Linked DNA regions of Coturnix japonica. The protein of the gene in region 1 purifies or fractionates together with the protein of each later gene. This does not show direct contact. Links are inferred from orthologs where the notes say so. Each region holds a gene or a part of one and is shown on either strand. Other genes may lie near its edges.

What was found.
Region 2: the proteins of MEPCE (region 1) and METTL16 purify together in Homo sapiens (affinity purification with mass spectrometry; 3 studies listed by BioGRID). This does not show direct contact. The link is inferred for Coturnix japonica from reciprocal best matches to the Homo sapiens genes MEPCE and METTL16.
Region 3: the proteins of MEPCE (region 1) and SART3 purify together in Homo sapiens (affinity purification with mass spectrometry; 6 studies listed by BioGRID and IntAct, counting the BioPlex papers as one, with this or other methods). This does not show direct contact. The link is inferred for Coturnix japonica from reciprocal best matches to the Homo sapiens genes MEPCE and SART3.
Region 4: the proteins of MEPCE (region 1) and PRPF3 purify together in Homo sapiens (affinity purification with mass spectrometry; 4 studies listed by BioGRID and IntAct, counting the BioPlex papers as one, with this or other methods). This does not show direct contact. The link is inferred for Coturnix japonica from reciprocal best matches to the Homo sapiens genes MEPCE and PRPF3.
Region 5: the proteins of MEPCE (region 1) and SNRPG purify together in Homo sapiens (affinity purification with mass spectrometry; 3 studies listed by BioGRID and IntAct, counting the BioPlex papers as one, with this or other methods). This does not show direct contact. The link is inferred for Coturnix japonica from reciprocal best matches to the Homo sapiens genes MEPCE and SNRPG.
Region 6: the proteins of MEPCE (region 1) and CDK9 purify together in Homo sapiens (affinity purification with mass spectrometry; 10 studies listed by BioGRID and IntAct, counting the BioPlex papers as one, with this or other methods). This does not show direct contact. The link is inferred for Coturnix japonica from reciprocal best matches to the Homo sapiens genes MEPCE and CDK9.
Region 7: the proteins of MEPCE (region 1) and LSM3 purify together in Homo sapiens (affinity purification with mass spectrometry; 3 studies listed by BioGRID and IntAct, with this or other methods). This does not show direct contact. The link is inferred for Coturnix japonica from reciprocal best matches to the Homo sapiens genes MEPCE and LSM3.

The regions. Positions count from the first base shown.
Region 1 is NW_015439878.1:132,591-136,982, forward strand, and holds the start of MEPCE (7SK snRNA methylphosphate capping enzyme), read left to right. Parts: upstream 1-1,386; 5' UTR 1,387-1,486; coding exon 1,487-2,701; intron 2,702-3,560; coding exon 3,561-3,779; intron 3,780-4,248; coding exon 4,249-4,375; intron 4,376-4,392. Other genes in the region: ACTL6B (actin-like protein 6B), read left to right, coding at 274-360, 452-532. UniProt on the Homo sapiens protein: S-adenosyl-L-methionine-dependent methyltransferase that adds a methylphosphate cap at the 5'-end of 7SK snRNA (7SK RNA), leading to stabilize it.
Region 2 is NC_029516.1:71,191,261-71,195,642, reverse strand, and holds the start of METTL16 (RNA N6-adenosine-methyltransferase METTL16), read right to left. Parts: upstream 2,820-4,382; 5' UTR 2,723-2,819; coding exon 2,595-2,722; intron 2,524-2,594; coding exon 2,324-2,523; intron 1,585-2,323; coding exon 1,444-1,584; intron 141-1,443; coding exon 25-140; intron 1-24. UniProt on the Homo sapiens protein: RNA N6-methyltransferase that methylates adenosine residues at the N(6) position of a subset of RNAs and is involved in S-adenosyl-L-methionine homeostasis by regulating expression of MAT2A transcripts.
Region 3 is NC_029530.1:5,666,688-5,671,216, reverse strand, and holds the start of SART3 (squamous cell carcinoma antigen recognized by T-cells 3), read left to right. Parts: upstream 1-1,450; 5' UTR 1,451-1,705; coding exon 1,706-1,873; intron 1,874-3,111; coding exon 3,112-3,238; intron 3,239-3,824; coding exon 3,825-3,929; intron 3,930-4,079; coding exon 4,080-4,264; intron 4,265-4,529. Other genes in the region: ISCU (iron-sulfur cluster assembly enzyme ISCU, mitochondrial), read right to left, coding at 676-786, 1,120-1,233, 1,310-1,396. UniProt on the Homo sapiens protein: U6 snRNP-binding protein that functions as a recycling factor of the splicing machinery. Promotes the initial reassembly of U4 and U6 snRNPs following their ejection from the spliceosome during its maturation.
Region 4 is NC_029540.1:1,882,482-1,884,928, reverse strand, and holds the end of PRPF3 (U4/U6 small nuclear ribonucleoprotein Prp3), read left to right. Parts: intron 1-165; coding exon 166-284; intron 285-705; coding exon 706-789; intron 790-906; coding exon 907-968; intron 969-1,260; coding exon 1,261-1,407; 3' UTR 1,408-1,906; downstream 1,907-2,447. UniProt on the Homo sapiens protein: Plays a role in pre-mRNA splicing as component of the U4/U6-U5 tri-snRNP complex that is involved in spliceosome assembly, and as component of the precatalytic spliceosome (spliceosome B complex).
Region 5 is NC_029537.1:791,414-794,743, forward strand, and holds SNRPG (small nuclear ribonucleoprotein G), read left to right. Parts: upstream 1-1,409; 5' UTR 1,410-1,496; coding exon 1,497-1,528; intron 1,529-1,725; coding exon 1,726-1,748; intron 1,749-1,877; coding exon 1,878-2,002; intron 2,003-2,487; coding exon 2,488-2,538; 3' UTR 2,539-2,660; downstream 2,661-3,330. Other genes in the region: protein FAM136A, read left to right, coding at 318-506. UniProt on the Homo sapiens protein: Plays a role in pre-mRNA splicing as a core component of the spliceosomal U1, U2, U4 and U5 small nuclear ribonucleoproteins (snRNPs), the building blocks of the spliceosome.
Region 6 is NC_029532.1:3,652,057-3,656,638, reverse strand, and holds the start of CDK9 (cyclin-dependent kinase 9), read left to right. Parts: upstream 1-1,528; 5' UTR 1,529-1,571; coding exon 1,572-1,663; intron 1,664-1,968; coding exon 1,969-2,050; intron 2,051-2,472; coding exon 2,473-2,563; intron 2,564-4,417; coding exon 4,418-4,582. Other genes in the region: SH2D3C (SH2 domain-containing protein 3C), read right to left, coding at 690-729. UniProt on the Homo sapiens protein: Protein kinase involved in the regulation of transcription.
Region 7 is NC_029527.1:8,367,338-8,371,550, reverse strand, and holds LSM3 (U6 snRNA-associated Sm-like protein LSm3), read right to left. Parts: upstream 2,898-4,213; 5' UTR 2,821-2,897; coding exon 2,800-2,820; intron 2,511-2,799; coding exon 2,400-2,510; intron 1,444-2,399; coding exon 1,348-1,443; intron 1,038-1,347; coding exon 957-1,037; 3' UTR 649-956; downstream 1-648. Other genes in the region: XPC (DNA repair protein complementing XP-C cells), read left to right, coding at 2,898-3,012, 3,212-3,410. UniProt on the Homo sapiens protein: Plays a role in pre-mRNA splicing as component of the U4/U6-U5 tri-snRNP complex that is involved in spliceosome assembly, and as component of the precatalytic spliceosome (spliceosome B complex).

The DNA.
Region 1 (4,392 bases):
CCCAATACATCCAGTGCCCCCCCCCAGCGCCTCCCAGTTCCCCCCCAGTTCCACCCACTCCTTCCCAGTGTCCACCAGTCCCTTCAATCCCGATTGACCCCCCAGCACCCCCGATCCCCCCCCACTGCACCCCATTCCCTCCCCTATAGCCCCCTATTGCCCCCCAGTCCCTCCCAGTGTCCTCAATCCCCATTCCAATCCCTCCCAGTATCCCTTTTAGTGCCCATCCTGGTACCCCCCATTCCCTCCCATTCATTCCCCCCCCTCACACAGAGCATGCGCCTGAAGCTGATCGCCAGTAACAGCACCATGGAGCGGCGCTTCAGCCCCTGGATCGGGGGCTCCATTTTGGCCTCCCTTGTGAGTTGGGGGCGATACAAACAACGTGGGGGGGGGGCAGCGATTTGTGCCCCCCCATCTCCCCCCCCCCGACCCCTCCCCATGTTCCCAGGGCACGTTCCAGCAGATGTGGATCTCCAAGCAGGAATACGAGGAGGGGGGCAAGCAGTGCGTGGAGCGGAAATGCCCCTGAGCCCATTAACCCTCGTTAACACGGAGCGAAAGAATGAGGAGAAAATAAACGGAACCGGAGCAAAAAGAGCCGATAAATGGAACCCCCCCCCCCAGGCCTGGAGCTGGGCGCAGGCCTCGATAGGCCGCACTGCTGTGAATGGGGGCTCAGCGCCTTCACAGCGGCACAGGGAGGGGCCTGGAGCCGCCTGGGCGGTTGGGGCCGGGGTTGTGGCCGCTGTTATTTCGGTGACATCTTTTTTTTTTACCAAAATCGCCCGTTTTTCCCTCAAAACGCGGCCTCGCGCCTCCGCTTTCCCTCCCGCCGCGGGAGCGCGCTCAGTGCGCACGCGCTTCCCCCTCAGCGCTCCGCGCCACATGTGCGCATGCACGACGCACAGAGGGCGCCCCACTGCGCATGCGCGGCGCGCCGAGGCTGTGCGCATGCGTCACGTGCGCGCGCCGACGGGTGACGCGTGCGCCGTGTGCACCCGGCGTCTGCGCACGCGCATTGGCGAAAGGCAGCCGCTCTGCCGCCCGTGCGTCCCGCGCTGCGCCGTCACCGTCCGGGATAACGGGGAGCAGCGTCGGCCGCGGCCAGGAACGGCCGGGAGCCCAGCTGCCGCTGTAGCTTTTCGTTCAGGCACCGCCGTGGACAGCCCAGAACCGCAAGGCCCCCGCGAGGCCCCCGACGCGCTGTGCAGCCATTGGTCGCTACCCCCCTCTTCCGCGCGCCACTTCCTCCCATTGGCCGCCGCCCACTCCGCCTCCTACCGATTGGCGCAGCCCTCCGTCCGCGCGCCACACGCCATTGGCCGTCTATCGGTTGGGGGGCGGGGCCCGTCGTGGCCCCGCCCCTCGGCTATATAAGGAGGCGCAGGGTGCGACTCGCCTGCCATCGCGGGAGGGAGGTGGCGCGCGCCGCACCGTCCGGCTCCGGCTCGTTGGACTCGGCGGTGGGCGGAGCGGCCGGGCCATGATCGAGATGGCGGCTGAACCCGACGCGTTCCGGGCCCCTCCGCCGCCTTTAAGGACCGGAGAACCACCGGGGGGGGGCGGGCCTGCACCGGGCGGCACCGACACCACCGGGCCCCAGCGGCGGAGGGGACGGGAGGAAACGGACGGAGCGGGGGAGGCCCCGAGACCCAGGAACGGCTTCAGAGCGACCGGAGGAGGCGGCGGGGGGGGCGGAGGGGGGGGAAAACGGCGGAGCAGCTGCACCGGATCCAAACAACCGCCGTGGAAACGGCGCCGGAGAGCGACGTCGGAATGTGACCCCGCGCTGCCGTCCGAGTTCCTGCTGGGGGGGAACATCTTCGACCCGCTGAACCTCAACAGTCTCCTGGACGAGGAGGTGAGCCGCACGCTGAACGCACGCACCCCGCAGTCATCACCGCTACCGGCACGAGGACGGGACCCCGTGGAGATCCTCATCCCGCGGGACATCACCGACCCGCTCAGCCTCAACGCGCCCGGGGGGGATGACGGGCTCCGTCTGGCATCACCTGCCAAAGCAACGCGACGTCGGCATCGCCACCGGGGTCAGCAACGGGGGAACAGCACCAACAGCACCAACAATAGTATGGAGCCAGAGAGCAGCACGGAGCACGGGAACACGGCCAGCAGCAGCACCAACACGGCTGGAAACAGCAGCACAACGTGCTCCAACAGCCGGCACCGTAAGAGGAGAAGGACTTGTAGTAAATCAGAGGCCGCCCGATCTACGGCGTCACCGGAGAAAGGGAAAGGGGGAAACAACGGCCCTAAAACCCCCACGACGGCCCCACGGCGCCGCAAGAGCCAGAAGTTCCAATATGGGAATTACTGTAAATATTACGGCTATCGCAACCCGGATTGCGAGGACGGGAGGTTGAAAGCCATGAAGGCCGAGTGGTTCACCGGGAAGGAGGTGCTGGATGTGGGGTGTAACGTGGGGCACGTCACGCTCAGCATCGCCAAGAGGTGGGGGCCCAGCAGAGTGGTGGGGCTGGACATTGACGGGGCCTTGATCCGCTCGGCCCGGCAGAACATCAGGCATTATCTGTCCGAAGAAATGGCCGCCGTGGAGGGAGGGGGGAGGAAGGGGTTCCCTGCGGCGCTGCTGGCCAGCAGGGGACCCATCGCTGCCCCACGGCTGCCCCCCGACGGGCCCGGAGCCTCCGACTTCCCCCATAACGTCGTGTTTGTCACGGTGAGGGGGCGGGGCTAAAGGGAGGGGGCGGGGCTAAAGGGAGGGGGCGTGGTTTGGGGGTGGAGCCAATCGGAGAGGCGGGGCTAATGGGCAGGGGCGGGGTTTGGGGCGGAGCCAATTAGAGAGGCGGGGCTAAAGGGAGGGGGCGTGGTTTGGAGGCGGGGCTAAACGGAGGGAGCCTGGTTTGGGGCGGGGCTAAAGGGAGGGGGCGTGGTTTGGGGCGGAGCCAATTAGAGAGGCGGGGCTAAAGGGGGGCATGGTTTAGAGGCGGGGCTAAGGGGAAAGGGCGTGGTTTGGGGCGGGGCTAACGGAAGGGGTGTGGTTGGGGGCGTGGTTAAGGAAAGGGGGCGGGGTGTTGGGTTGGGGCGGGGCTAAAGGAAGGAAGCGTGGTTAAAAGAGTGACATAGAGTGAATGGGCGGGGCTAAGTTTGGGGGCGGGGCTAAAGGCACAGCAGGTTTAAGGGGCGTGGTTAAGGGCGGGGCTAAAGGGGGCGTGGTTGGGGGGTGGGGCTTTACAAGGGGTTTGATTTTAATATGGGGTGTGGCTAAATGAAAGGGGTGGGGCTAAAGGAGGGGGTGTGGTTTGGGTTGGGGTCAATAAATGGGAAGGTGACACAGTTGGGGTGGGGGTAAATAGGGGGTGTGGCTAAAGGGGTGGTGCCGATGGAAGGGGGTGGTGCTTTGAAGGGGCTGTGATTAGGATGTACATGAAGGGGTGGGGCCACTCCCCCTTTTCTAAGTTCAATCCCCATCGTTTTTGAAGATCTCCTTTAATCTGTTATTTAACCCCCCCTACCCAGTCTCTTCCCCATTGCCATGAGACCCCTCCTAACCTCTCTCCCACCCATCCACCCCATAGGGCAACTACGTCCCCGAACGAGAGGAGGCGGTGTGGGCCCAGCGCCCCGAATTCGACGTCCTGCTGGTTCTGTCCCTGACCAAATGGGTGCAGCTCAACTGGGGGGACGAGGGGCTCAAAAGGTTGTTCCGTCGGGCCTACAGACACCTCCGGCCTGGGGGGCTGCTGCTGCTGGAGCCACAGCCATGGGCTTCCTACCGCAAGAGGAAGGGGCTGACGGTGAGATGAATGGGGTTATGGGGCACCAATGGGGGACTGGGGGGGATATGGGGGTTGGGGGTGCGGGATGGGGGTCTGCTCTTGTCTGTGGGATGGGTCCAGCTGTGAGCCTTTGGTTGTGGGACCCCTATAACCCTCCCCAAAGTCCCCAGCTGGACTGTGGGAACCTCCCTCAGAGCCTTCAGCTCTTTAAGATCTTCCCACCCATATCCTCCCAACCCCCTCATTGGAGCCCTATAACCCTCCCCCCAAATCCCCTTAACTCACCAAGACAACCCCCCCCAATCCTCCACTGCAGCCCCATAATCCCCCAAACCCCGCTCCAAAAGCCCCAGATCCCTCTCCTAATTCCTTCCAACACCCCATTGCCCCCACAGAACCCCTTATAACCTCCCCTCAGCTCATAGTTGGGTTATGGGGCCTTTAGTTGTGTGGCCCCCTCCCCATTTTAACCCTCTCCACCTCACAGGAGACAACGTACCGGAACTACCACCGCATCCGCCTCCGCCCGGAGCAGTTTCCCTCCTATTTGACCTCCCCCGAGGTCGGCTTTGCCAGCTACGAACTGCTGGGGACCCCTCAGCACAGCGCCAAAGGTGGGGGGGGGGGACAC
Region 2 (4,382 bases), on another chromosome or scaffold:
GCAACTTTTAGTTTGCTAGCTTACCTTTGCTTCCAATTGGTTGGCAAAAAAAGGAGGGTTGCACATGCAGAAGTCATAAACTATCTCAGATTCTTCTTTCAGTGCATCCATAAGAAGAGTCTTCTGTGGTACCTTAACCACTAACAGAAAAGACAGATTCAGTCAGTAAGGAGTGTCATATTTTATCAAACATGTGATTTTCACTTCTGCATTTCTTGAAACAATATAAAACTTCCTTGGCAACATATTCAACAACAAAAAGCATAACACAGCATGCAAATAAAAGTTAAGGAGTAGCATACAAACAGCTTATAAGTATATCCACAGTAGTAGTGGAAGACACGTGTCTTTAAATCTACAATTAACTGCACTAAGTTCTCTGCTGCAACTATGAATGTAAAAGCTTTCATAGTTCAAATTTACAAAAGGAAAGTGGCTTATCCTACTGTTACATATGGGGTATTGATTAAAAAAAAAATGCAAGGAAGAACAAATTTTGGCAATCATCCTATTCCAATAAAATATACGCGCCAACTCAGAACATCAGGTAATTTTTTGCTACTACTTACAATCAAACTCCAAAATGGGTGTTGCTAAAATAGTAACTGGTTACAGCAGCATAATCAGCTCCAGATAAACGCTTCAGACCCGGGAATTAAGAAGTCACAGGGTGGATCAATTCCAGGAAGCTGCCGGCTACAAGTACCCATAGTGGCACTCCCTGACCTGCTGCTCTGCCCAACAGCAGTCAGTCATTTACTTATCATTTAGCTTATCACTGTAGGCACTACAGCTACACCTGAGACATCTTCCTATGCTGGAGGTATTTCCTGTAAAGTGTAACAGCACCACAGCACTAAGAATCCTATGATGGCAGCAGTTAGAGAATAAAGACATTGTTCTCCACATCAAGATCTGGATCTTCAAGACTGAAAGGGACAGGGGAAAAAATGATACTCCAAAACTCTATAAAACCCTCACTGACATTTTTCCAAGCTCCTCCACAGATAAAGCCTCACACTCTGCTACTACCACAAGCACTGTTAAGACATCATTCAGAAATGAAGAGTAAGAATTGACTCTGTACAAAGTATACGTATTAGTGTCACACACATTATTTGAGGGGAATACTCCATGTCTCCCAGCAGCAGAAACAGCAGGACTATAAGAAATGCTTCGGTAACAGAATGAAACATGGAGAGAGAAAAGCTCCCTAGGATTCAGTTTAACTTTCAGATGAGTAGCTCTTTTTCCATAGTTGCCATTCTGTACAAGCTGTAACTTTTTGCTTTAAGGGCACATGGACCATAGCAAACACTCTGCCAGTAAAAACAACGGAGCACGTATTAGCAGGAGTACTGGTTCTGATATGCCACTTGAATATGGCAAAAAAAAAACAGGTCACAACATCTGTATGCTACTAAATTGCCTATTATATCATACCTTTTATAAGATCAGACAAGTTATTCTGTTCCACGTTCTTCTTGGCATAATTGAAGCACATATCATCCACTTCTGTTGCAAGAAAATACCAGCCATTCAACGTTGATCCAAGTAATGGGTATATACATGATGCCCCTGTCCCTGCAGTGTGAAAAGCATATGAAGAAAGCAAAATAAGTCTCTAGCGTTATACACAGCAGTCATGCACTTTAAACAAAAAGAATTAATCTCAAGAAATCACTGCCCAACAATCATCCATTATTCAGTTCTTTAGCAAATCATTTTAAGAAGTAATTTAAAATATGGTACTGTGAAAGATGCACTATGAATAGGGAGCACCACACTCCTTGCTAGCATACGTTTGCTACTGAATTATCAACTTCTTCAGCAATTTTCCCACATATGACAATGTTTTATACAGAGAAAGAACTCGGTCTTACTTGCTTTGCATGTGCGTGTATATGCACATTTAATTGTTACTGTAATTACTGTTCTATTTTCCTTTTCTGGCCTAGTGAACACTTTTTATCTCAGCCTGAGTTCTGCCTTTTATCCCCCAATTCTCCTCCCCATTCCACAACAAGGGGGAGTGAGCAAAGGGCTGCACGGTGTTCAGCTGCTTGCTGGGTTAAAACACAAGCCACAGAAGAAGTAATTTACCAAAGGATCCCAAGAAAGAGTTACTATGCAACTCACAAGCTCTCATGCATACATCTAAAACACTAACATAACTCAGAAGACAGTAACTTAGAAGACAGAGAAAAAAATACAACTAACTTCCCACACATTTTCTTTCCTCAAAACTACTGAGTTGAGTTCATTAGCTGTAAGTAACGGGCTAATTAAACACTTGGCCCTATAACCAGCCCGCGGTAAGTACCTATGTCAATGCCCCGCCTGAGCACTCCCTTGTCAGCACCCTGATGGCCAATGAGATCCTCCACCCAGTGGATGTAGTTCAGCCTCAAGGGGACGGTCGGGATGAGCCTTTCCAGGGGGATGTCAATGGTGAGCCCAAAATCCTCCTTCAGAAGGGTACACGTCAGGGCTCTCACCGCCTCGGGGTCCTTGAAGTTCAGGCTGAAACACAAACAGGCGTTACCTTGGGGCCCGGCTCGGAAACCCGCCCCCCCTCCGCCCCGGCCTCCTACCTCACCCTGCCGGCCAGTGTGGTGTGTACGTGCTGCCGGAACTCGGGGTACTTGCCGGCCAGGTAGGCGAAGTCGGGCGGCTTGTCCTTGTAGCGGTTGCGTGAGTGCATCGACTTGTTGAGCGCCATGGCGGGAGCAAAGAGCCGCCCGCACCTCAGCGGGGCCCCACCGCAACGCTTCCCGGCACGCACCGCGGGCAGCCGGGACCTACCAATGGCGGCGGGAAGGGGGAGCTGTGAGGGGACGGGGACCGGGAGGGGAAACACGGAGGAAAAATCCCACCTTCCTTAAGGTGGCTGTCGAAGATCAGAGCTGCTTCTGATTGGAAGTATTTACTGTAAGTTACTTCTAAACACGTCTAGAGGGCGAGCGAGGAAAAGCGCTGCATGAAGCAAAAGGCTGTGGGTTGGGTGTCGTGATGCTGAACGGTCACCAGGCGGGAGAAGAGACCGTGGGATAGAAGAGACCATGGAATAGAAGACTGGAAACCTCATAAATCACTACCTGAGATAGGCGTGTGTATGTGTTAATTGTCTCATGTGTAATTGATGAATATGTACTATCTGTGGAAATATAATGGACTCTGAATCATGTAATCTTTGAAGCACTTATGGTGGAAATATCCCCAGCGCCACTAATAAAGAATACCTGGCTTAATGGTAACAAAACTTTGCCGTTCAGTTTCTATGCACTGATTTTTTAAGCATTTCATTGGCCAGTGAAATGCAATGGTATTTCATTTCCATGTGACAGGAGGAACTTACTGAGTACGGTGTGTTGCTTCCTTGGATAACCCGGGTAAAAACATACTTCAGCAGGAGTAACATTAAAGTGTAATTATTATTATTCTTTTATATATTTTTATCCTTGTTAAACCTCCAAATGCTTGCGTGTTGTTTCAGAATTCAACACGTAGGCATCCCATTGGACTCTCAACTGTGTGAAATGACTTGCAGCTGGATTTGCTTTCAGTCCTAGGTCCTGCCCTCACAGCTGCCTGTGTCCTAAGGGACTAATGTTTATTCTTTTTAACACACACCTTTTTGACCAGAGCAACATCCCAGCTCACTTCCAGCCCACCCTTCCCACTTCTGGAAGTCATTCTCCACCCTCTGCCCCCACCCACAGTCGAAGAAGTGAAGCTGATACAGACAAAAGCAGAATGGAGGCCGAGTTAAAAATATGAACTTTAATTTGGAGCACTTAGTGTATTTACAGTAGAAAGGTTCTCTCTAGTCAAAGGATGACAGATTCTAAAACAAAATCCACATTCACAAACATGTGGACCTGCACCTGATGCAGGCTAATTGCTTTTTGCTACTTCTGCTTCACTCAGGGTAACAGCCGTGAGAAAACCCCGGTGTGAGCTTGTAGATGGAATCAGATGGTTCTTACACCGAAGTAGCACATACACAATGGAGTCCAGAAAGTAGTGTGAAGTTATCCAACAGCTGCTAACAAATGACTCATATTAATGAACGTATACGCAGTCCCATTTGCAGCTACGTCAGATTCAGTGAATCATTATTCAGGGAGAGACAGGCAAGCAGACACAAGCCTACCAACCTGTGTGCAAGCACGGATTTGCAGGGACACTCACTGCCAGGTACAAAGGTACCTCCTCACCCACCCAGACACGTGCATTCTTTTCCACTCTGCACTAGGACAAACATACAGGCGTGTGTTTTGTTAATGCTGTCTTACACGGTTTCTACACGCAAAAGAAACTTTAGAAAAAGCACCAACCCTTTCATCTGACCCGCTGGCTCAGAATCCTTGTTCCTAATG
Region 3 (4,529 bases), on another chromosome or scaffold:
ACATATGATGCCCACACACCACGCAGGTATTTGATACAGGTGTGCTTCAAAGCACTGGAACCAACCAAAGTCACGCTCTGAGAAGGCAGTAAAAGCTGCTGATAGTGTTCTACCATAAGAAAGGCCTTTCAATAATACCTGTTTTATTCTGCTCCTGCCAAGCAACAAATCTGCAACCTACTACAGGGAACCTCCTTTGGCAGAGGAGCTGGACTAGGTGATACTCAGAGGTCCATTTCAACCCCTGATTCTATGAAATATAAGGAATGTCTCAAAGTGTGCAGTGCTTGTTAATAAACCAGAGCATTATTTTACTGCTGACCAACTGCAGGGACTGTTCCAGGTTTGTTCTGCTGTAATATAGAAACAACCTGCTTGTCACAATGCCAAGCACACGGAGATCAGCCAATGGAAGACATTCCACTATACAAGTGCTTTCTTTATCTATTTTCGATTGCTGTGTAGCACCCAAAGCTTCTTCACAGCTTATTGGAGACTTCCAGAAAAGGCAAATATTGCTTTAAAAGTCAGGAAAGATGAAACTGCATTCTGAGCTTCTATGTGAGTGTAACACCTGGAGAGCACCTCTCTAGACCCCTGTTTCCTTCCCTGATCCCAGCAGTGGGTGTGAATATGTACCTGCTCCCCACTGTGCCCCTTAAGCCAAGCCCTTACCGTCTTCCCTTTCACCCACTCTGTTGCCAAGGAGCTGGAAGCGATGGCAGAACCACAACCGAAGGTTTTGAAGCGAGCATCAACAATGCGGCCGTTCTCATCCACTTCCACCTGTGGGAGTTATCAGAGGGGCGCTCAGTTCCACGTAGGAACCACACACAAAGGGACAGCGATAGGACAGCGAGTTTAAGGCTGGGGGTTTATCGGATTTTAGGGCCTGCAGAGGGACTTTAAGGGACAATGAGTTTAAGGCTGGGGGTCTATTGGATTTTAGGATCTGCAGAGGGGCGTAAAGGGACAGCGAGTTTAAGGCTGGGGGTCTATTGGATTTTAGGGCCTGCAGAGGGGCTTAAAGGGGGTGTGACGGAGGAATCCTATGTCACAGCCATATGGTGGCAGACACTGATGGTTGTGTCCTTACAGGGCACCCCGTGCTCCCCTCACCTGCAGCTTCATAACGTCTCCACAGGCCGGGGCTCCCACCAGGCCCGTACCCACGTTCTTTGCGTTGCGATCGAGAGAGCCCACGTTCCGCGGGTTCTCGTAGTGATCCACCACCTGCGAGAACAACGTGTCACTAACAACCCCCAACGGGCACTATGGGCTCCCCACAGCCCTACCCGGCCCCTCTCACCTTCTTGTGGTAGCCCGCCCCCCCCACCGCCGTCGCCCCCCGCCCGGGCCGCAGCAGCGCCGCCCCCGCCGCCCTCAGCGCCGCCATCTTGAGTCTGCCCGCACCTGGCAGCGGCGCTCTGCCCCAACCCTCCCGAAGGACCCCTGGAGGCCGAGGCCCTGAGGTGTCCGTGGCGCTGCCTCTGCAGCAGACTAAATTATAAGGAGTAACGGGCCGAGCTGCTCGGCTTTTCGTGGCAGTTGGACGCGGAGAAGAGCAGAACCTTGTCGGGAGAGTTTATCGTCCTTTCTTTCACCGCTTTTGGCTGGGGGGAATGTACAATATTGAGACAGGCGCGCAGTAGCCAACCCCATCGGCTGGCTGAGAGCGGCCGGCAGCGAGGCGAGCTGCAACAAGATGGCGGCGGCGGGAGCCGAGGCGGCGGTGGAGGAGGAGAAGCGTGTGGTGGAGGGAGACCCCGAGTCGGGGGGGGATTCGGAGGATGAAGGCGACTCGGATTCATCAGGAGACGGCGAGGATGAGGAGAAGGAGAACGAGGCGGAGATCCAGCGGCTGGAGGAGCAGGTGGGGCCCGGCTGTACCGTGCTTTGGTTATGGAGATCTGGAAACGCCTCCGGGCGTGATGCCTTTTAATTCGCTTTTTATTCCTCGCTTCAGGGCGAGAGAGACTCAGGGAGCAGCCCTGGTATGTTGAAAGTGAACTCAGATGGTGGTTTCCTTAGTGATCTTGAAGGAATTAAAACGCGTTTGCTGAGGAGGGCTCACTGGGTGTTAGCGCTGTGTCTGTACTTGGGGGCTCTCGGGCCTTAGGGCTGTGAGTTCAGTCTTCTGCAGAACTTTAAAGCCCAGCTTTAGTAACAGGGATCTTCTATGAAGGGCTGCAGAGGTGGTCGGGGCCTGCAGCTTCTATTTGAGGAGCCCTGAGGCTGCCCTTGAGGCAGGAGGGAAGGCTGAGGGAGCAGCACTTGTCAGGGTAGAAATCGTGAAGATGGGGCCAGGTTCTTTTCAGCCATGCCCAGCTACACGATAAGGGGCAGTGGGCACAAACTGGAACCCAGGAAGTTCTATCTGAACGTGAGAAATAACTTCTTCGCTGTGAAGTTGACAGAGCCCTGACACAAGCTGCCCAGGGAGGTGGTGGAGTTTCTTTCTTTAGAGATGCTCAGGATCCACTGGGATGCTTTCTAATGCTACCTGCTGGGGGGAGGGTTGGACTGAGGGATCCTCAGAGGACTTTGCCTTTTCCTGTCACTTACAGTTCTGTGATTCTGTGTAACTGAGCAGGGAGGTGAATGTCTGTCTGTACTTGGCCCTGGTGAAGGCAAGGCATCTTAAGTGCTGCGTTTAATTTACTCACTACAGAAGAAAGGCATCAAGGCCCTGGAGCATGTCTGGAGTAGGGCAGCAGAGCTGTAAAGGGTTTGGAGTACGAGCTATATGGGGAGAGGTTGAGGGAGCTGGGGATCACAGAATTGTAGGATGGTTCTCCACTACTCCCTGAAAAGAGGTTGTAGCAGGGTGGGAGTTGCTCTCTTCTCCCATATAACAGCGATGGGACAAGAGGCAAAGGCCTTAAGTTATACCAGGGGAGGTTCTTGTTGAGTATTGGGAATGACTGCTTCTTCAAAAGAGCAGTCAGGAATTGAGACAAGCTGTCCAGGGAGGTGGTGGGATCACCATCCCTGGAGGTGTTCAAGAACTGCAGGGATGTGACACATAGAAAACAGTGTGTAAAGTTCTGTTCTGCTGAGTATTTGCTGACTTCTGCAAGCCTTTAAAAACTTCCTTTATTTTCTTTAAAGCTTTCCATCAATGCTTTTGACTACAATTGCCACTTGGATCTGATAAAGCTGCTCCGCCAAGAGGGAGAGCTGGTGAAGCTCAGAAGAGCTCGGCAGAAGATGAGTGAACTCTTCCCACTTACTGAAGGTACAGAGCTGCTTCTCCTTGCAGCTGGTAATACTGATGAAGCATCATCAGTGTGAAATACTCTTTGTGCCAGGTTTCAGCCATGCTGTTCCAGCCTAAAGGATCAGATTGAAGCTCTGAACTCAACTTGAAGCAGGCCTTTCTTTTTATTTATAGTTAACACTGTAACAATATAAATACCTGGCAGTGGGCTTTTAGCTTTGGCAAGTGAAGGTTTCCTCTTAGGCATGTGGGAACCTGCAGCCTCTAAAGCCATCTGCTGTTTCTTGTAAAAAAGAAGGAAACTGTGCCACTCAATGCCTCTTTGCTGGCCTATGTGCATTCTCTGTGCATGGTGCTGACCAATTGCTGCTCACAGCTTCATCTCTCTTTAAATAGAAGCATACTTGCTTAGGACTAGGTTGGAGACATCAGTACCAAACTTTTCATTTAAACTAATTGTGTGTAGATGCGGGGACTTAAAATTGCTCTTTTTCTCCCCATTTTCTCTATCCCCATTTTTAAGCCTGTTATTAAAAAATAACCAAAAATGTAAAGGGAAAAGTTTTTTTCCAAGCGTTGGTGACTGTAAACTTCTTGGTTTCAGAAATCTGGCTGGACTGGTTGAAGGATGAGATAAAAATGGCTTCTGAGATCTCAGAGCGAGAGAAAGTTTATGAGCTGTTTGAGAGAGCCGTGAAGGATTACATCTGTAAGTTCTTAATGTGTGGGAGTTAAAAAAACATTTAAAGGTCTATTATACTGAATAGTAAAGACAATTTCTATGCCTTTGGATAAGTATTTGAGATGCCTTTGTATTTTCGAGGACATCAGCTCTCCTGTTTCTCATAACTTTGTTTAGGTCCTGAAATTTGGCTGGAATATGCCCAGTATTCAATCGGTGGCATTGGTCAGGAAGGAGGAATTGAGAAAGTTCGCTCAATATTTGAGAGAGCATTGACAGCGGTTGGGCTGCACGTGACAAAAGGAACAGCTCTGTGGGAAGCGTACCGTGAGTTTGAGAATGCCATCCTGGAGACAGCACAGGTAAGGCTGGTCTGATGGGCTGCTGTCAGTTAGAGGCTGTGGTGGAGCTTCCGAAGTCACCTTATGCTGCTTATCAGTCTCCTTGGAGAAATGAGGCTGTGGTGTCACTCAGTTGTTTCTTTTCAGCTGTAGAGACTGACTGTTTGGACTGAGAAAAATGTTCTGTGTTCTGTAAGAGTGGAGGTGTGTTAAAATATGTTCATAAAACCTCACAACCAGAAGCAAAACTACTCTACTTCTTTAGCTTGTACTGACAAGAATAAGT
Region 4 (2,447 bases), on another chromosome or scaffold:
TTTATAAATAGGCCTAAGAAATGCCCTATAGAAACATGTGGCACTAAGGAGGAGAGTCCTTTAGCCTCCTTGATGGATTGATGTGCAGAAATCTTCAGAGAATTTCAAGATCTTAAACAATAGCTCTGCTCTTCCACAAACAGCTGTTTCTTATCCTGTCCTTAGGGTCAGAAACTTGAGCAATCCAGCAAAGAAATTCAAAATCGAGGCGAATGCTGGCCAGCTGTACTTAACAGGAGTGGTGGTTCTACACAAAGATGTCAACGTGGTCGTGGTAGAAGGAGGTGAGGATTGTTAAGGCGGGTTTTGGTCACAGCATGATGTTCATAGGTTGCTTTTGCAAAGATCACCTGTGTGTGAAAATAACAGCCAGAGGATTACGGAAGAAAAAGGAAGTAAGGAGGCACTTTGAAACTCCCTTCATTTTAAGTACAGGGGAAAGCACTGCAAGCCAGATAGAAATAAACAGAACGTTTGATGTTGATGGAAAATGCATTTGATTTAAATCATTGCATCCGTTCAGAGTCCAGTGCAGTTACTCACACTTTGGCTGGAAGGGCCTGGCTGTGCTGTACTTGTGTCTGATCAGCTGAGCATGCTCTGAAAGGCTTACTTGTGTGTTTGTTGTTCTTCTGCCTTTTAAAGTCTCCTAAAAACATGAGGGTTAAGGACCTTTGTGAATGTAAGTCTCAATTCTCTCCCCAGGCCCGAAAGCACAGAAGAAATTCAAACGTCTTATGCTTCATCGAATAAAATGGGATGAACAAACATCAAACACCAAGGGAGAAGGTAAGCATTAAACCCTGTGGGGAAGGAGGTGGTAACAGATGATGTTGTAGCCATTGGGTTGGTTGAGCAGTGGTGGTTCTGCAGGACTAGAATTTGTTGTTGCTGTTTCTATTCCAGATGATGACGAGTCTGATGAGGAGTCTGTTAAGAAAACAAACAAATGCTCTCTGGTTTGGGAGGTGAGTGGGCAGAGTTCTGGTTTGCTGGGAGTTCTGGGGGCTTAGGAAAGGCACAGGTTAACCCTGCCTGATAGAATGGCTGCTTTGTATGGAAGGGAAGTCTACTGATCTGAATTGAACTGTACAGTTCTTAAGCTATAGCAGAATTACACAGTGTGGGGTAGATACTCCAAACCTCTTGCAGCAGTTGGGTTAATTGCTTGTTGACCTGTAAAAAACATTTATTCTCAGTTTTATTTCAGTTACTTTCTCCCCATAGACTTGTGGAAATGAGTCCCCTTTTCTCTTCCAGGGCACGGCAAAGGATCGAAGCTTTGGCGAAATGAAATTTAAGCAGTGCCCCACTGAAAACATGGCACGGGAGCACTTTAAAAAGCACGGAGCAGAGCACTACTGGGACCTGGCTCTGAGTGAATCCGTGCTGGAATCCACAGACTGAGGGTGATGCTGCCCCCGGCACCCCCCCCCCTCCCTTTCTTCGTTTGAGAACGAATACCTCGTGGGAACTTGAACGACCCCCTTCCTCCCCCTCCGGTCTCAGTACAGCGAAGTATGATTAAAAGAAATATTTTTTAAAGCAAATCACTTAACAATTTGTTTTTCTGGATACGTTCAGCTCCTGGAGGAGGTGTGAACCTGTTGGCTGCCCCCCCCCAAGCCCACACTGTAGGGAATCTGACCTGGGAATGTGACCTTCTATGGAAAGAATCGTTATGGAGCTGAAGGGGAGAAGTTGTTTTCTATGCTCTTTGTGTCCCTTCAGGTACGAAGGTCTCAGGGCTGTGCTGGGAGGTGTGGGGGGGCACAGGGGGTCTGTGTGGGGCAGCACAGGGGACAGGGGAGGAGCACTTGGTGTTTGTAAAGCAGAGTAGGAGACGGGGACTTAGCCCACATCCTATATTTACATAATAAACATGTTGGTTTCTTTTTGTAAAAGCTGAAGCCGCCTTCGGTTTGTGTGTGTTTATGGCAGCGTTTGGAACAGCACCCAATGGGGGGGTTTGGTGGTTTAATGGGAGTTTGGTGCTTTAAGCGAGGCTTGATCTCATTGCAGTGCTCCCTGCGAAGGGCAGCTCAGCCTCTCCCAGCTTTCTGCTCAGCTCAGCGGGCCGGGTCGGACATTATGGCCCCGTTACTTCAAGCCTCATCTTGCTTCTCTACAGCGCAGGCGGCCGCCATCTTGGCCGCGGGGCAGGCCGGGAGCGAAGCGCAATGCTTGTGGAGGGGGGTGATGCTCAATGCGCATGCGCGACGGCAGGGAGGACGGCTGGGTGGAGCGGCGCATGCGCATTGCTCAGGAGGGCGGGCGGCGGCGCATGCGCAGTGCAGAGGCGGCTGTGGTGGGGGGGGTGCCGCCGCCGAGGCCGTGTGAGGGAAGGCCTGGCACAAATGGCGGCGGGGGGGCGGGCGCTGCGCGCGGAGGGGGCCGGCGAGTGACCGAGCCACCACCGCCCCGGGGTGCTGCTGGTTGGGGGGGGG
Region 5 (3,330 bases), on another chromosome or scaffold:
TGGGGTCCTTTAAAAAGAGCGTGGCCAGTAGGGTGAGGGAGGTGCTCCTGCTCTGCCCTGAGGCCGCATCTGCAGCACTGGGTCCAGCTGTGGCTGCTCAGCTCCAGGCAGGGAGCTGATGTAGGGACATAGAGATGGTGGAGGCCTGGAGGAGCATCCCCTGATGGGAGAAGGCTGAGAGCCCCGAGGGCTGTTCACCTGCAGAGGCTGAGAGGGGATCCAGTCAATGCTTATCACCATGGGGGAGCCCCAGAGGTCCCTTCCAACCCCTGTGGTTCTATCACTCTCCTGATCTATGCCCCTTTATCCCCTTGCAGGACCGCCTGAGCCGCTGCACGCTGCACTGCTCTGACAGAGCCAAGGATGCCCTGGAGGCGGGCGGTGGGGAGACAAGGGCACGCTCCCAGCTCGACGCCTGCGTTGCTGCCTGTGGGGACGAGCACCTACGCCTGGTGCCAGGCATGGCCAAGAGGATGCGGGATGGCTTGGCGGCCCTACAGCACTAGCGGGTGCTGTTGGGGTGGGGGAAGGTGGTATTAAAGGCAAGGAGCTGCACTCGTGGTGCTCGAGGGGTGCTGGGGGTTTGGGGTGTGGGGGTGCAAGGTGTGGGGTGGTGGCTGTGTAATGTATGGGGTGGGTGTGTGCAAAGTATGGGGTGATGGCTGTGCAGTGTATAGGGGGTGGGATGAGCCATGCAAATGTGCAGTGTATAGATAGGGTACAGGTGTGCAAAGTGTGGGGTGATGGCTGCGTAAGGTGTGTGCAGGTGTGCAAGGTGTGGGGTAGTGCTTCTGCAGGGTGTGGGGCACTGTGTGCAAAGGGTGCTGGTGTGTAAAGGGTGCAGTGTGCAAAGGGTGCAGTGTGCAAAGGGTGCAGTGTGCAAATGTTGCAGGGTGTGCAAAGGGTGCAGGTGTGCAAAGGGTGCAGGTGTGCAAAGGTGCAGTGTGCAAAGGGTGCAGGTGTGCAAAGGGTGCAGGTGTGCAAATGGTGCAGGGTGTGCAAAGGGTGCAGGGTGTGCAAAGGGTGCAGGGTGTGCAAAGGTGCAGTGTGCAAAGGTGCAGTGTGCAAAGGGTGCAGTGTGCAAATGGTGCAGGGTGTGCAAATGGTGCAGGGTGTGCAAAGGGTGCAGGGTGTGCAAAGGGTGCAGTGTGCAAAGGGTGCACACTGCCAGCTGTGAGCCGATGGCTGTGCAAGGTGTGCACGGTGAGCCGTGCAGGGCTTGCAATACGTGTATCAGTGCCTTTGTGTGTGTGCAATGCCGTGCATACAGTGGGTGTGCAATGCGCGGTGCATGCAATGCAGCAGAGCTGCAGGTCTCCATGCACGTGCTGCATGGGGGCCGCTCCAAACGCGCACGCGCGCCGCGTCCGAGCGCTCTGATTGGCTGCCGGCGAGATGCGAAGGTTGGCGGGAAAAGGGGGCGGGGCTTTGGGCGTAGCGTGCGACGTGATGACGTCATTACGCGGCGCGAGCGGCAGCGGCGCTGAGGAGACGCCATGAGCAAAGCGCACCCACCCGAGCTGAAGAAGTGAGAGCTGGGCCAACATGGGGATGAGGGGGGATGAGGGGGGATAAGGGAGGACTGAAGGGGATGAGGGGGGCCCAGAGGGTCGGGAGGGGCCGTGGGGTCCGGTTCGGGTTCGGTCTGGGTCCGGTTGGGCCCGCAATGATGGCGGTCCCGACCCCACACTGATGCGGCCTGCTCTGTTTGCGCTCTCGTTGCAGGTTCATGGACAAGAAGCTGTCGTGTGAGTCCCGCTGTTATAACGGGGTTGTGCCATGAGCCCACATTCACAAAGCCCCCCCCCCCCCCCCATCCCTCCCTTCCCTTTTAACCCCCCCCTCCCCTTGTTTCTGAATGAGCCGGTTTCTCGTAGTGAAGTTAAATGGCGGCCGCCACGTGCAGGGGATCCTACGGGGCTTCGACCCCTTCATGAACCTGGTGATCGATGAGTGCGTGGAGATGGCGCCTGGAGGGCAGCAGAACAACATCGGGATGGTGGTGAGTGCTGGGGGGGATGGCAGCCCCCAGGCCCACTTTGTGCCTTGGGCTGGGGGCTTTGGGCTTTGGGCTTTGGGCTGGGGGCTTCCTTTCAGTTCAGGCCTCCCAGTGCCCATCCGTGGCCTTGGGCACCTCTAGGAATGGGGAACAGCCTCAGGAGGGCAGAGCAGGATGGGACAGAGCCCTCCGTGTCTGCTGCAGTAACAGAGGGGTGGCAGCCCAGCTGGCTGTGAGGTCACAAGAATACATTGCTGTCTTATATCAAGCTCTCATCCACCTTTTCTATCAACCACCCTCCTGCAGGAGCCTTTTCCAGCCGGCTGACTGCTGCCATGAGCCCCTGCAGTTCTCTCATTCACTTCAGCTCTTGGAGCTGCACATGCCATGCAGCTTTCTAGGAGGAAAAGTCAAAGGGAAAGAAAACCTTCTGTGCTGTGGGCATAACGTGCTTCATCTCACCTCCTGCTGACAACTTCTCTTTGTAGGTAATACGAGGAAACAGCATCATTATGCTGGAAGCTTTGGAACGAGTATAGTGGCAGAGGAACCCTGTAGTGACCCGACCCCGTTGTGTTTTGTTTACTCACCTGAACCTAATGAAGCAACCACAAGTGTAAGCTTATTTTTTGTTAAATAAATTTTGTACTGGTTGGTGTAACCCGTGTGAGCTGTGCTTGGTGGAACTGAAGCCTGGGGCAGTTAATCTTGTGAGTGCAGCAGTGTGTCAGTGGCAGCTTTAAAGCTGGAGGATGGCTTTCAGGCAGCTTTATTTCTTTGAGTGGGTGTTCAAATGATACTGGCTATATCTTTAAACCCCCCCCCATAAATAACAGGCTGTGGCACTTCTATTCCTAGCATTGCTCTGTAAAGAGTGAAGGGGACTGAAATATCTGTCCTGCTCAAGTGTTTGCCTGCAACTTTGTGCTGGTCTCCACCTCTGTGCTGAGGCAAAAGTGGTTTTGGTTATTCTCATTGCCCCCAAGCAGACAGAACAAAGCATTGACCCCAGGGTACCAGCAAGCTTCTAAGAGTTGAATCGTGTTCCAGCACGTACGGACTCCTGTGATGCTGCTAATCTCAGTGCAAGTCCTGCAATTTAGCTTTAATCAAGTGCATTCATCTTTTCTAGCACAGCAAGAGTGAGGCTACACTAGTGGAGGCTTGTTAGTGGGAGTTTGAGCTAAGCAAGCACAACTTGCTGGTACAGGAGAACTCTGCTGATGGAGAACCGAGCAGCAGCTCTGAGACACAGCACAATGCAGGTAACACAGACAACAGTTCAAGGCAGCACCTGCTTACATTCAAACCAGTGTGTTGCTTTTATTTGT
Region 6 (4,582 bases), on another chromosome or scaffold:
ATCCCAGCTTGGCCGGGGCCGTGGGAGATGGGTTTTGCTCAGCTCCCGGGGGAGCTCAGGGGTCGGCCTCCCTCCGGCGCCGGCATCAGCATGATGGAGGCAGAGGAATGCGGGGAGCAGCAGTGAAGGCAATGTCCTGCTCAGTGCAGCGCTGGCGGCGTGCAGCCCCATGGAGCCTCCTCCGAGGGCTTTGGGGAAAACCCGAGGGCTGTGAGAAAGAGCTCAGCTCCCTCCTGGTGGGCAGCAGCACTTCCTCTGTGCTCAGCTCCCACCGCTTCGGTCCCGAGCGCGGCTCCATCAGTGCAGATTTATCCCCAGCATCCACCCCATCCCTCTGCTGCAGGAGCACACAGAGGGCTCCTGGACACCACCAGCCCCAGCCATGCAGAGGGGTAAATGCTCCCTGAAAGCTGTGATTTGGGGGATCAGAGCAATGGTTCACCCCTGTCACATGCTGGCAACCAGTGCAAGCAGACTGCTCCCAGTCCAACCCCAGCACCAGAGCCATCAGCACCAGGGTTTGCTCCAGCTGTGGGGATGGAAGCCCCCAGAGCCCCCAGTTTCCTAACAAAACTGAAGACTTCTTGCTAATGAGAGGTGACCACGCTCACACTCACACACCCCCTTCCCACCCACGCCAGCCCAGGTGAGCACCCAGCACCCACCCCCTCCATCCCGATACGACTTACTGAATTTCTTGAAGCCCCCTCGTTTCTGGCCCTCAGCCATGGCTGTGCTGGGTGGAGGCTGCAGGGACAAGTTTATAAACTTGAAGCCTGTCCCTGCCTGCTCCTCCCTTCCTGTCCCCCCTCCGCCTCTCGCTTTGCTCTCTCAATCACTCAGCGCTTCCTCCTCGCTGCTGCCATCTGCTCTTATGGCAGCTGCTGTCCCCGCTATCCCCTGCGGTCCCATCCCTTATTGTCCCTGTGCTCCCATCCCTTATTGTCCCTTCAGTCCCATCCCCTGTTGTCCCTGCACTCCCATCCCTTGTGATCCCTGCACTCCCATCCCATATTGTCCCTGCAGTCCCATCCCTTGCTGTCCCTGTGCTCCCATCCCTTGTGATCCTTGCAGTCCCATCCCTTGTTGTCCCTACAGTCCCCTCCTGGCTGCTCAGGTGCCATTAATGGGATTAATGTGCTTTAGGGCCGCCCTTGAATGGCTGGGTGCCGGCATGGGGCAGGCTGGCAGCTCCATGGCTGGAGGTCCCCATATGGGGCTCAGCTCCATGGTGGAGCCCCAAGGCCCCACTGCACCATGTGCTGGTGGAGCTGTGTTGTCTGTGGGGTCATTTCTATGGGGGATGCAGTGGCCCAGAGCTGGTGGGCAGCCCCAGGGCCTTGTCCTATGGAGTGTCCCTGTATGGCCACGGCCCTTCCTATGTGGGTGACACTGTGAGGGAGGGAACGCGGGCACACAGCTATAGACAGCCATAAAGCCGCAGGGTGATACGGGTTTATCCGGGGTGACAACATGGCGGCCTAAGGTGGACTACAAATCCCAGCAGGCAGCGCGCCGGCGCGCCGGAAATAGCGTAAGGCGAGAGGGCGGAAGTGAAGCCGTCGGCCGGCATGGCCAAGCAGTACGACATGGTGGAGTGCCCGTTCTGCGATGAGGTGTCCAAGTACGAGAAGCTCGCCAAGATCGGGCAGGGCACGTTCGGGTGAGCGCTGCGGGCCTCGGCTCTGCTCCCAGCCCGGGCATGGCTCCTATGGGGCCGATTATCTGCTGTTATTCAGCGTCATGGGGAACAGGCCGCGGCCTGACCCGGGGCCTTTGTGCTGTGGGGGCTGCGGGCCTCGGCCTCCTCCTTATGGGGCTCATGGGGCCTTGTTGTTGTTACATGGGTCTCTCCGTGTTGTTATATGGGTCCTTGTTGTTGTTACGTGGGTCCTTGTTGTTACGTGGGTCTCTCCGTGTTGTTATATGGGTCCTTGTTGTTACATGGGTCTCTTCTTGTTGTTACAGGGAGGTGTTCAAAGCCAAACACCGGCAGACGGGGAAAAAGGTGGCGCTGAAGAAGGTGCTGATGGAGAACGAGAAGGAGGGGGTAGGTGTGAGCTGTGCTGTGCTATGGAGGGGATGGGGTGGGGGGTGGGCTATGGAACATCAGTGTGTATTAACTTTAATGGTGTTTACTGCTGTAACGTGCCAGGTCTTGAGTAACAGCACACAGCACATGGGGGTGGGGTGGTTGTGCTGTGGGTCAATTGGGGCTTTGCCATGTGCTGTGCTCATAGATGGGAAAGGAGGGCAGGTGTCCATGTCACACAAACACCTCCACCTTGTGGCAGAATCCTAAGGGTGGCCAATGAGTTTTGTCGCCCCTGTAATGTTTTGTAGTTTCAATTACTCTTAAATGAGCTGTTGCAGTGCTACTCAAGCAGGTGTCCTGTGCTGCAGCAGTCCAATCTCTCCTGTTCTATAAGCAGATGTGAGCTGCACTCCTAACCTGTGTCTTCTCCTTTCCAGTTCCCCATCACAGCTCTGCGAGAGATTAAAATCCTCCAGCTGCTGAAGCATGAGAATGTGGTGAACCTCATAGAAATCTGTAGGACCAAAGGTAGCTGCCGGGGTCTCATTTGTGCTGTGCTGAGGGGGTGTCTGTTTTCAGCCTTTGTTCTTGGCTCAGCAGGCTGCTGTGTTGCACTGGGGGTGGATCCTCCAGCTGAGCATGTGTTTAATCTGGGGTGACCACACGCTCATCTGTGGAAACTCATTTTGAATGAGTGCTACTGTGCTGCAGCTTGGCTGGAAAAAGCTGTTGTCAGTGCTGCTGGCACATGCCTGTGCTGTCTCAGTGACTGCTGTCTGTGTGCTGGCTGAATGGCTTTAAATGAACCTGCAGCAGGAGAGAATGTGAAACAGAACGTTTTCTGCCTGGTGGTGGTTTTGCAGCTTTATGATGCTGATGCCATTGGGAGCAGGAGCCGTGTTTCTGCAGCTCGTGGAGCTTTGTGCTGGTGACAGCTCCAGCTGGAGACTTGCTCAGCCTCTCCTGTGCATGACAGAACCCCCCAGGCTTTGAGGGCTGGATTGGAAGTGCTGCCACTTCACAGTGAGCAATTCAGTTGCTCTGTGCTGAGCTGCTGTTCCATCTCATCGCTGCAGGCAGTCCCTGGGGGAGGCAGCACGTCTCTGCTGTGTGACTGATGTGCTTAATGCACCTGGCCAGGCTCAGTTTCCAGGGAAATCATTTTAAAGCATTTCCTCATTTTTATATATCCTTCTCTTATATGGATTTGTACTGCAAAAGAGGTTTGGAAAGCGACAGATGATATTAAAGCCTGCCATGCTGTAGTCAGTTCTTTTTGGTTAAATACAATTGATAATAGCACCTTTCTGCTGCTGTTTTTTACACTCAACTGGTAGGAATCTCAGGCCTAGGTCTGGGAACTTGGTGTTGCTCCATAGAATGTAGGTAACTGTCGGTTTTTGAACCAGTAGGTAGGAGGAAAAACACTGAGTTAATGTTTAATTCTTGGATTGATTAAACCAGCTGTGATGACTGCATGCTGCTGGCACGTCTCAGGTCAATATTTTTGTAGCTGTGTCAGATTGTTTGGGTCTTGTTTAAATTCTACTTTTCTACCTTGACCTCAGATTCAAGTGAAAAACAGAAACATTTCATTGACTGTTCTCAGACTTTAAGCTTTTCTCTTTTTATGTTGGAAGAGGGGTTGTGAGGACGGCACCACTGTCATGTGCAATCTAGAAAGCATCCTCCAGGCTGCATTTACTGTGCAGGCTGAGCTTAGCCCACATTTTCTGGTTCTTGCTGCTGATCAGCAGGTTTTGCTGTGCACAGCTGATCAAAATCAGCCTTTTGTTTTGGTGTTTTGCACGTGTGCTCTAGGAGCAAGATTGAAATTGATTGCTTCATTTGAGGTTTCCTGTCATTGACCATAAATTGCAATTGAAGTTGGGGTTTTAAATCATATTGATCTGCATCAGTCTGTTCTCATAGACACCATTTGAGGTTGCAGTAAACTTCACTTTCTGATGTTGCTTTAGAAATATTTGCTGTATTCCTGTGAGTCTGTCTTTGCCTGTTCCTCCTCTAATGCTGATGCAATGATTGTGCTCGGCTGTCAGCTGTGTGTGTGCACCCACGGGCTGCAGTTTGTAGGCACAAAACCCCACAGCTGTTAATACACGCAGCACAACACACAAATGAAGCTTTCAAAGACTTTTTTGCTCTTGCTTTGCCTTTCTCATGATGTTCACTACCACTCTGATCCTCATCCACTGTTGCTTGTTTTGCTGTTTTAATACCTCTTTTTGAAGGCTCTTGAGGCATCTGGAGTCCCTGTTTTGATGTTCCTCTGCCGTGAGGTTTCACCTAGTGAGTGAGGATGGATGGAGGTCAGGAGGAACTAAATCCCTTGCTGACTGTTCCTCTTTGCCTCTCCTGTAGCCTCTCCATACAACCGCTGCAAGGGCAGTATCTACCTGGTGTTTGACTTCTGTGAGCACGACCTGGCTGGACTTCTCAGCAACACCCACGTCAAGTTCACGCTCTCAGAGATCAAGAAAGTTATGCAGATGCTATTGAATGGACTTTATTACATCCATAGGAACA
Region 7 (4,213 bases), on another chromosome or scaffold:
GTATGTCAAGAAATGCCCAAGTCTATGTCTATAATATGCCTTTCAAATATACTCGTAAAACATTCCATAGCCATTCCAAGTAAAACATTCATTCCCCTTCCAGCCCCACCATGAGAATAAAGTGCAATCAGGAAGGCCTGAGAAACTATGTATTAAAAAAAGCAGTGTACAAGGCTCTTGTGCACCCACTGATAACCAGGAAGCATCTTTGGTTTTCTACAGAATTTAATGTGTTCAAGAACTGAAAATGGCTACAAATGGTGGCAAATGAATGCATAAATCAGGCTACTAAATTTGTTTCCTACTGATGGTATTGCTAAGCTTTGCTCTGCTAACAAAGCTGCAAGAGAAGCATCTGAAAAAGCTGTAAAAATTCTATTCTATCAATGCATTTTAAGCAGGACACAGAATTTCTCTCCTACAAGGATATGTTTACATAAAACCATAGATTAGTACACCATAGACCAACACAGTGTTGCCCTCCTCCAAAACATCAATCTGGAAAACTTCAGTATGGACAAAAATCAAAACACCAAACAAGTCACTGCTTTCTCAGGAAGCAAAGCCACATTATCACAACTTAATACAGCATTAGCACTAGAGAAGTTCATTAAAATCACCTTTTCAACAAAAACATAACACATCAAATCTGAAAGGTAAACCAAATTTATTTAAAACAAACAAAAAAAGACACTGCTATTCCCAAGATTGAAAAAACAGGGTGCTTTTACTTATGTCACACACAGCTCATTTACAGCAGTTACATTAATTCAGGGGAAAATGAGGTTTTCACACTGCTTCAGCTGACAGGTACTTTCTGCAAGAAAAACTCATTCCTCTTCCACAAAAAATAGGCAAAAACGTTCTATTAAAAAGTGTATGCAATTCTGAGACATGATCAAAACAAATCGTCCAAGAGCCTGAAACCTTCCAAGAAGGTTCAATCCTTGGTTGCTTCAGCCAACCCTCAGCGGGGGAGCTACAAGCACAACGCCGTCACCTCTGACAAAGAGCATCGGAATATTCCTTTTGGTAGACTATGAAGAAGCAAAGAAAAGATTACATTTACAAAAGAGAAGTATACAGAACACATCTACTAAGCATGTGACAAAATTCAATCCTAAAAAAACACCAACAAACATCAGCTCAAACATGCAACTTCGCGTCCTGCTGAAGATATCAAAATCAACAAGCACCTGGATGTCCTTTGTGCTTTCATAACAATTTGCCTAAAACACCTGCTAGATCCTAGTCCAAAAGGTGCAGTTATCAACACATTATTTTGACAACATGACAATCTAGATTGCAAGAAGTTTTCTATGGAGGTAAATACACTGAAGTCCTTACTTTATAAATCTCTTCGTATGTTTCTTCGTCAATCTCTATTGTTGTTACAGTTTCTTCCACATCGCCCAGAATCATATTTAAGTGCTGATCATATGCCTGTAGGAACAAAGTTCATTACTTCTTCCAAAATTCAAGCACAAGCTCATTAAATCCATAATTCTAGCAAGACACTCAAACAAAATTATTTTAACCTGATTTGGGTCAAGATGTTCCATGTGTGAACATGATGTATCAGCTGTAACTTCAACTATAAAGGCCAACATCAGTACTCCACAGCATAAGGAAGGCTCTTATACTCACTGAAACTCTCCTTCTGAAGCTCATGCACAAACTCTCAGAGGTGGACACACTTGTTCTTGTCGTTAGCATTAATCCAACTAAATATTATTTGCTATCAGCCCAGATTTCTGGGATTGGATTATCTATAGCTATGAGAGCTGTAACTCAAACAACAATACATAAATTTTAATTAAGCACTTGTTCCAAACACCCTACAAAGGGAACTTAGGAATTATACCAGTGCATCACAGATCTGTCCTCACCTTTTTGTTCTCAAATGTATTTGAGGCCCAGTTACCACATGGGAAACTGGTTCCCTTCCTCAGCACAGCACCACATTCCAGAAGGATAACACAACCAAACAGAAAACAAAAGTTTGTCTCACTAAGAGACATCGCTCTCAAAAGAAAACAAAGAACAAATCAAGTATGGAGAGAACCCAGCTGAGTACACATCCCAGCAGTCCTTGGGTTTGCTCTACAAGACAGTTGCTTGATATACTTATTTCCATCTTAACAGAGTCGAGAGTCCTTTATGAGATGATGCCTGCATTATTACTTAGTCCACAGACATGGGAATAAAAGCAAAAATCAAGAGAACGAATCACTTGGAATCATTTAAAAGACAACAGACACGGAAAAACAAAATGCACCTTTTGAATCTCTGGCAGAACACTGCACAAACCAAGCGCTGCTGTTGAGCACATTACAGTAACATAACAAATAGTTGCACATAACAGCACAGCCTGCTGCCTGCTTGGAATTGGCACTCACATGCAGCCTGCCTCTGAGCTCTCTGTCATTCCTCATCTTCACATAGATCCTCTCATCCAGACTGAGCCTGATGAGGTCGAGGGGCTCCTCGACGGTATTCGTTGTCTGTTGCTGAAAACAACACCGAAACAAGCAGTTATTCACGCAGGAGCAGTGAATACGAACTCCTCCACTCCTCAGTTTGCATTCTGAAACGCTCCCTCAAGTCCCAGTATCCACACAGAAGCAGACAGGCTGCATGGCTCAAACCAACACGGCAGCACGGCATATGGCAAAGGGAAGGCACACGGATGTGCCACCAACCCACCAGCTCTCTCTTCAGGCCCTCACCACCTCACTTGGCAGCCGGGGTGGCCGCAGAAACACCGCTCCCCCCTAAGAAAAGTAAAGAGCCATTCACCTGATCCACCTCGTCCGCCATCTTTCAAACCGCTTCTCGCTCTCTCTCGTGATACTTTATGGCCCGGCCTCTTCCCCCCGCTCTGAAGGGGCGGGGTAATGCTCGCCGCTATGGCGAGGAAGCGCAAAGCGTCGGTTCAGCGGGTGTCTGCCGGCAAAAGGCGGCCTGGAGGGGTGGGAGTACGGCGGGATGGTGCGGAGGAACGTGAGGAGGGTGAGTGTGGGAGGCTCGGCTTCTGGGGCTGCTCTGCTTTGAGGGAGGGAGGCAGTCAGCATGGAGCTCAGCAGCCCCCCATGATGGGCCGGGGCTGGAGTTGTTCAGTGCAGCTCTGCTGGAGCCTGCAGAGATATTGCTATGTATCCATAGGGATGAGGTTATATCCATGAAGAAAATTTCTTTCTTTTCGATGTAGGTGATTTTGTTGAAGAAAAACACAGTGTAAAGAAGAGCAGAGCCGGAGTTGCAGCTAGGAAGAAGGAGGAAGACAGTGATGCTGGAATTGCTAAGTTAGCAGAGAAGCCTTCAAAACAAAAAGGGGTAAAAGGGCGAGTGAAAGAAAATGAGAGAGACCCTGAAAATAAAGGGGATGATCACGAAGAGGAAAAGTGCAGGTAAGCTTAGCTGTTGTTCATCATGATGCGCTCTGTACCTCACTGTGGGTTGGATGTTGTGGTTGTTGTGGGTTGGATGTTGTGGTTGTTGTGGGTTGGATGTTGTGGTTGTTGTGTAGGGTCCATTGCCCTACAATGTTCACATAAAGGGGTTACGTTAAGCTGGCAGGCCAGTTTAGTTTGTCTGTGACACACAGCTGTACAGAAGTACTGCCTGGCTGATGGCAGGATCTGTCTGAGGAAGGCAGTCTGCATGGGAAGCAAATATCTGAGCCTTTTCAAATCAATATCGTAATTGTAAGATAGCGTTTCATTTATTTCTACACAAGACTAGGGAGGTTTTATGGCATCGAGCATGAACAGAAACATTGCTGTGAGATATATGGTCTTCCTGTAGAGATTTCAAGGGGGATTGTATTAATGAGAAGAATGAAGCTGCTTGGTCTCATTTCACTGGCCAACCAAATCATTGGGTGTTAGCGTAGTGAAACACAAGCACTTCCAATCCCAGTGCATTATGAGGTCTCAGTAAAGACAAATGATTCAATGAAGACATTCATACAAGCTGTTAGGAAAGATGGGTCATTGTTTTTAGGTTCAGTCATCTTCATTCAAACAACCTGTTAGAACCAGGACCTGTGTCTGCACTGAAACGTTGTTGTTCAACGAGCCTGTAATTATTCATGGCAAAGACTGCTCGCTTTACAGGCACACACACGGTTCAGTTGTCAAATACTTACAACCTTTACATCTGTTGTTACTGATGCAGAGATGATGCTTTGTTTATTTCCTCATTTTTGTTT